Linked DNA regions of Ovis aries. The protein of the gene in region 2 purifies or fractionates together with the protein of the main gene of each other region. This does not show direct contact. Links are inferred from orthologs where the notes say so. Each region holds a gene or a part of one and is shown on either strand. Other genes may lie near its edges.

Evidence for each region.
Region 1: the proteins of CDK6 (region 2) and HSP90AB1 purify together in Homo sapiens (co-immunoprecipitation; 4 studies listed by BioGRID and IntAct, with this or other methods). This does not show direct contact. The link is inferred for Ovis aries from reciprocal best matches to the Homo sapiens genes CDK6 and HSP90AB1.

What each region holds. Positions count from the first base shown.
Region 1 is NC_056073.1:17,737,541-17,740,872, reverse strand, and holds the end of HSP90AB1 (heat shock protein HSP 90-beta), read right to left. Parts: coding exon 3,175-3,332; intron 2,824-3,174; coding exon 2,658-2,823; intron 2,447-2,657; coding exon 2,256-2,446; intron 2,152-2,255; coding exon 2,004-2,151; intron 1,880-2,003; coding exon 1,611-1,879; intron 1,359-1,610; coding exon 1,025-1,358; intron 934-1,024; coding exon 824-933; 3' UTR 560-823; downstream 1-559. UniProt on the Homo sapiens protein: Molecular chaperone that promotes the maturation, structural maintenance and proper regulation of specific target proteins involved for instance in cell cycle control and signal transduction. Undergoes a functional cycle linked to its ATPase activity.
Region 2 is NC_056057.1:10,942,866-10,946,614, forward strand, and holds the start of CDK6 (cyclin-dependent kinase 6), read right to left. Parts: upstream 2,679-3,749; 5' UTR 2,537-2,678; intron 1-2,536. UniProt on the Homo sapiens protein: Serine/threonine-protein kinase involved in the control of the cell cycle and differentiation; promotes G1/S transition. Phosphorylates pRB/RB1 and NPM1.

The sequences.
Region 1 (3,332 bases), on a different chromosome or scaffold from region 2:
CATTTCTCAAATTAGCATCTTGAACCTCTTTTATCTACTGGCCACCTATGTTTTAAGAGAAATGTCTATTTAGTTCTTTGCCTGTTTTTTGATTGGATTGAGTTGAACGAGCTATTTTGGAAATTCAGCTTACGTCTGTTGCCTCATGTGCAATTATTTTCTCCCTCTTTGACTCTCTCTCATTTTGTTTCTATGGCTTCTAAACTTACCCGTGATGGTTTTAATATCTTCCTATGTATCACAATTGGGCTTCCCTGGTGGCTCAGCTGATAAAAAGAATCTGCATGCAATGCAGGAGACCTGGATTGGGTTGGGAAGATCCCTGGAGAAGGGGATGGCTACCCACTCCAATATTCTGGCCTTGAGAATTCCATGGACTGTATAGTCCACAGGTGTCTTAAGACTCAAGACAAAACTGAGCAGACATGGCTGAACTGACTTTCACTTTATGTACCATGTTATCTACTCAGAATGATGGCAGGCTAAGATTTGTAAAGGGATACATACAGGATAACTCCAAAGGCAGCACTGTATATACTTAAATCTACGAGAGCAGAACTGTGTAAAAAACCTGCATCTTCTTTATTTTCAATACTTTAATTTCAGAACAAAATAAACAAAACACAACACACAACATTCAAACCCCATGTCAAACGTGGAGAGGAATCGGGCGTGAGGCCCATGTATCCTGCCTTAGAAGGACAGAAATAAAACCACTAGACGTCAGCAGAGGGAACCACATGGGCCAGGGCCACAAGGGCGGCTGCTGCTGCAGGAGCCATGGGGACGCTATACAGAGGGAGCAGTCTGCAGGTATAAACTCCTAATCTACTTCTTCCATGCGAGAGGCGTCCTCGTCACCCTCAAGGGGGGGAATCTCATCAGGAACAGCAGCACTGGGCTCCTCTGCCGTCACCTCATCTTCATCAATGCCTAAGAGGAAAGAAACCACATCAGGTAGGCCCCCAAAAGCCTTCAAAAGCGCCTGACACACCTTGCTACTTGAGAGGACAAAGGTACTCACCCAAGCCAAGCTTTATCATGCGGTAGATACGGTTGGAGTGGGTCTGGGGATCCTCAAGCGAGAAGCCAGAGGAGAGCAGTGCAGTTTCGAACAGTAGCACCACCAGGTCCTTGACGGCCTTGTCGTTCTTGTCCGCCTCTGCCTTCTGCCGCAGGGTCTCCACGATGGGGTGGTCAGGGTTGATCTCCAGGTGCTTTTTGGCCATCATGTAGCCCATGGTCGAGTTGTCCCGCAGTGCCTGGGCTTTCATGATGCGCTCCATGTTGGCGGTCCAGCCGTAGGTGCTGGTCACAATGCAGCAGGGTGAGGACACGAGCCTGTTGGAGATCGTCACCTGAGGGTAGGCAGAAAAGCTCATTGTACTGAATCGAATTACCTCCTCAAGGCAAAGATGCTCATCTCTACTCTTTGGGGAAAAGTGTCATCTTTGGTAAGTTCTATAGAAATACCAACCTTAAGAGAACAAGAAGTAGGGTGGCACTAAGCAAATTAAGCTGCCTAAACCACTAACTGTAGCAGCCAAAGATGGGAGGAAACCACTCTGAAGGCATCGCTAACAAGATAACTTTGCTTCACAACGGCTTACCTTCTCCACCTTCTTATCCAAGATCTCCTTCATGAGTTTGCAGAGGTTCTCAAACTTTGCCTTGCTCTCCTCCATCTTCTTCTTCTCCTCCTCATCCTCAGGCAGCTCCAGGCCCTCCTTGGTCACAGAGACCAGACTCTTCCCATCAAACTCCTTGAGCTGCTGTACACAGTACTCGTCGATGGGCTCCGTCATGTACACCACCTCAAAGCCCCGCTTCCGCACGCGCTCCACAAATGCAGAGTTGGCAACCTGCTCTTTGCTCTCACCTGTAGGATTACTCAGTGTGACTCAAGGGCCAAAATGCCTCATCCTGCCAGTTCCCCAGGACCCTTGAGTGTCTGCCCCACACCTCTAAAAAAAGGCTTTTATCAGACCTAGGTTCCAACGTACCAGTGATGTAATAGATGGACTTCTGGGTCTCCTTCATGCGAGACACATATTCTGAGAGAGAAGTCATCTCATCTCCAGACTGGGACGTGTGATAGCGCAGCAGCTCAGAAAGGCGTCGCCGGTTAGTGGAGTCCTCATGGATTCCAAGCTTTATGGGTAGGGGAAAAAAATAATTTTGTTAGGAAATAACTTATCCTCTCAGTGAATGAAAAAAAATCCATTCTAATTATTAAGCAAGTACTTGCTGCTTACCTTCAGGTTTTTAGAGAATGCCTCATAGAATTTCTTATAGTTCTCCTTGTCTTCTGCTAGCTCAGAGAAGAGCTCAAGGCACTTCTTAACAATGTTCTTACGAATAACCTTCAAGATTTTGCTCTGCTGGAGCATTTCTCGGGAGATGTTCAGGGGAAGGTCTTCAGAGTCAACCACCCCACGGATGAAGTCTGAAATCAAAATATGGAAGCTGGGTTTTAAAGATACAGGAGTGGCGGGGATAAAGATAAAAGGTATATAAAGTCATCTGGATTCAACAGAAAGACTGATTTTCTCACCAAACTTTCACTTGTTAGGTTGCAGAGGATCCTTAATCTAAGATAAAGACTCCAGCCCCCGAGAACGCAGAAACGAACTACATTAGGGCAAAAAGATACTCACTGAGATATTCCGGAATCAACTCATCACAGCTGTCCATGATGAACACACGGCGGACATACAGTTTGATATTGTTCTTTTTCTTTTTGTTCTCGAAGAGGTCAAAAGGAGCCCGACGGGGGATGAACAGCAGTGCTCTGAATTCCAGCTGACCTTCTACAGAGAAGTGCTGAAAGAAATCCAAGATAAGCTGACTGTGTACTCAAGAGTGGCTTTTGGTCCCAATACCAAAATGTCCAATTATTTGAAACAAAAACTTCCTATCCCTGTAGAGAAAATTTAAGCCCTAATGCCCTAAATGAATCCAACTGCAAGCACTATATCATCTTTGGGTCAAAGACTCCAGGTGGGTAAAGCCACCAGAGACAGGTCACAGGGGAAGATGTCACTTCTCCACCCTGGAAGGGTCCATTAGCAAATCAACTCATAGCATTCACAGTTCCCAGCTACCAACCAGTTGGGTAAGTTCCATTTGTCCATATCAGCTCCTCCTACTGAGCCAACAAGCAAGACTTCTTACCTTCACTGCCAAGTGATCTTCCCAGTCATTGGTAAGACTCTTGTAGAACTCTCCATATTCCTCCTGGGTGATGTCATCAGGGTTCCTGGTCCAAATGGGCTTGGTTTTGTTCAGTTCTTCCTGATCAATGTACTTCTCCTTTATCTTCTTTGTCTTCT
Region 2 (3,749 bases):
GTCACGGCTTAATATTTCCCTGTATCATTGTGTTGCGCTGCTCCGCTCCCTGCCTGCCGGGCCTGGACGTCAGGGGACAGGGGCTCCATGGGTGCCGTGGGGGCGTTCTGGGGTCGTGCGCAGCCTGGTGTGGACAGACCTCGGGTCCGCCTGAGTGCGGCCGCAGAATGTGGGTGGGGGCTCCCAGGACCTTTGTAACCCGATGCTGCGAGTGTGCGAGAAGGGGTGGTCAGACATCTGCTCGGAAATTGCTTCCTTTCTTTCTACTTTCAGTTTTTCTACGAGGAGACATTTAAAAACGACACACAAATGGTCTTTTTAAGGTAAAAGAGTCTGGGTTGGAAACGGAATCCTTCCTCTTACTTGGGAAGACCTCCCTGGTGGAAACCCATCAGATCCGAGAGGGCGGGAGCTCCCGCTACTCCGGAGTGGGTGAGCGATGCCTCCCCCCGCGGTGTGGCGGCGGGGGCGAGGGGGCGGGTGAAGTCGCCTACGGAACCCTAAGAATGGGATAAAGAGGTGCTCGCCGCACTTCAGCTTGTCGTCTCCTTGGAGAACAACTTCAGAAGCAAAGCGGCATAATCGTCACTTGCCTTGAATTTTTCAACCGATTGCAACCTGAGCAAAACTCAGCTTCCCCTTAAATAGGGTGAGGGGTGGGGGGAGTAAAGGCTGAGCCTCCAGGGGAAAGCGAAAAGGGGTTGCGCCCCCGGGGCCAGGACTCGAGAACCTTTCCCCACTCCCAGGGTTGTTCCCGAAGTAGGTAGCAGAGGTTGCTCCACTCCCCTTCCAGTTTAAGGTCGGATCCGAATAGCAGCCAGTGACCCCCGGAGCTCACCCCACACACACAACAAAGCGGCGAAGGGGGGGGGGGGTCGCACTCTTCTTTCCCATTCAAGCTGCAATCCAGGACCCAGGGGACCTCTGCTCCACCAACGCTGTGGCCTCCGCCGGACATTCGCCGCTCCGACTGCTTGTCCGAAATTCCCCGGAGCTCCTCGGAATTACCTGCCCCGCAACCTCTGGCTCGCTCGCCTTCCGCCAGGAATTAAAGATACAGACTGCGCGACCCTTGCGGTCTGCGGGCGGAGGGGACCGCGGAGAGCACCGGGCCCCTCACACTCTCTCCATTCAAAATTCTCCTTAAAAGGTGAAGGCCAGTCCTGGGTAAGGGGGCCGAGGAACGAGCCCCCTGAGCCAAGGAACCAGCGGTCGGAGCCAGGCCGAGGGCCACACAGGTAGCGGAGGAGCCGCGGCGAGCGGCGCCGCCCGCCCCCTCCCGCAGGCCCCCTCCCAGCCCCAGTCCTGCCCGCCGCCCGGCGGCGAAGGAAGCGGCGGGGACGTCCCACCCCCGCAGGGAGCTGCGCCCGCCGCCCCCGCCGGGCCCCGCACCGCCCGCCCCGGCTCTCCCCCCTCGCTCCCCGGACTGTCGGCTCCGGCGGAGAGAAACGGGAGCAGCCGTGCCTCCCCCCGTCCCCCGCCCCGTCCACTTTTTTTGTTGTTGTTGTTGCTTTCCCACGCTGGCTGAATGTGACTTGACCCCATTTCAAAAAAGTTTGACAGAGTGCTTCAACATTTCCGCATTCCTCCGCGACTACAAAGGCTGCAGCCGCCTCCTTCTGCTTTCTGTCTCTGCTCTCTGTCTTCACACTCAATGAAATCCTTCATGTGCCTCTCCCGAAGCCTGCCAAGCACCGCAAGGGTCGCCACCACCGCGGCGACCAGAGGCCGCCCCGGGGGACCACGACTCCCGCGTGTACACACACGCAGATGCGCCCACGTGCACACTGACGGGCGCGGGGCTCGGGCCAGGAGGTGTTCACCCCGGGGGCGTGCGTTTTAACGATATTTTAAATTAGGAAAGTAAACTAGGAAACTAAAGCAAGCGTCCATCCTTGCGGGGGGACTTCCAGCCTGGGCACTGGCCGCCGGCGTGTACTCCTCTCTTAAGTGCAGAACACGCCCGCGGGGGCTGCCAGCAAGAAGTCTGCGTTAACATTTATCTCGCGGTGGGGAAGGTGGAGCTCACACCCACACCTCGGCGAGATGGAGGGGGAGCTTTCGTGGGGAAATAAATACAAGGCACCGAAACACATTCTCTCCCGCGTGAGGTTCCCCAAAGCAGTGCATTTTAAACCCTGAATGTAAATTTCTCGGTGAGTTTCCCAGTGGAGCCTGAGTTCCGTTTGAAGGACTGGATAAGAAGTGTTTGTGTGGGTGTTTGTGCGCAAGGCTGTGTGCGAGCAGGCACAGGAGCTCGGCGTTGGGGGGAGTCCCTCGTGTGGGATGTTTCCCTCTAGTCAGATTAGGAGAAACTCCTGTAGCTCCCCCGAAACTGGCCCCTGTAACCACCCCTCCTCGGATCGTAAGGGGTTAACCAAAGCCGATTCCCAGAACCTACCGCCCCCCCTCCCCGCCCCAGTCACCCCCACCCACCCTAGCCGCCGACCCCGGGCCAAGCCCCCAAGTCTTCCCCAAGGACCACCCCCCCACCCTGCACCCTGCCGCCCACCCACCAGAGCGCACAGCGCCTCACCTGAGGGGCCCGGCCGCGGCGGGCCTCGCGAGGGGGCTGCGGGGACCGGTCGACCTTCGCACGTGTCCGCCGCGGCGCGGAGCAGGTAAACCGGCTCGAGGAAGGAGTTAGCGGCGCTCGCTCGGGCGAGGGGGTGGGCACTGCGGCGGAGGGCGGAGGGACGGCGGAGGGCGCCGCCCGCGCGGCGCGCTGGGGGCGGACGGAGGCCGCGGGGCTCCGGCCCGGGCTCGGGGCCCGAGCCGGGGAGGCGGCGGGGGCGGGGTGGGGGGCCCTGGAGGCCGGCGGCCCGCGACCCTCCCGGCGGCCGGGTGGGGGGCTCGCCGCTCAGTGGCCAGCGAGTGTGCAAATTAAAGCCTTCCGGAGAGAGGGGAGGCGGCCGAGCCCCGGCTGTGCTCTGAGCCTCCGGCTCCCCGGCTCTCCGCTCCGAGTGGGGGGCGAGAAAGAGGGGGGAGCTAAATGAAAATTTCCGGCTTTCGCTGCAACTGGAGTGGGGTGACTAAAATAGGAGGCGTGAGAGGGAGAGTGGGATGTGTGGTCGGCAGTCGGCTGAGTTACCAAACCGAGGGTCGCCCAGAGTTGGGGTTTTTGACAGAGTGAGGCAGGCGGGGGGTTTCAGCAGTCAGTGATGTAGACAGATGGGGAAAACACAAAACGACCGATAATAGTCATGAGGGGCCGGTGGGGATGGTAAATACTAACACTTTTCAAGAAACTGAAAAGTCAGATCAAAAAATAACTTTATTTAAAAAAATTGGCAGGACGCCTTGCAGAAAAGAAAATACTAATCTGTCCAAGCACTTTTCACTTTCAGCATGAGCTACATTTGTTTTGTTTTCCTTCGCTTCCTTTCGGCCTCACAAAGCCCTATCTTTTCCTTTTGGACGGAGGATATGATTTGGAAATTGTCTGGCACTCTTGTGGTTAACGATCTACTTGAAGGGGCTGGCCGGCTCACAGTTATTAAGTGATTAGTAACTGCCGAGGGTTCACTAAGGTATTTCTGTGGAGGTAAAAAGCCTAAAATTGACTTTAAGTAACAGAACAGCAAGATAATAGACACACGCACACACACACAAAGAAGAGAGAACACGATTCGATGGGTGCTTACTTTAAATGCATTACTGGACTTCTGAAATTTGAAACTTTGTAAGAATGTATACTTTACCTGCTGAGAAAACCTCAATATTTCAGGTGAAAATTAGATTTTGGAGGA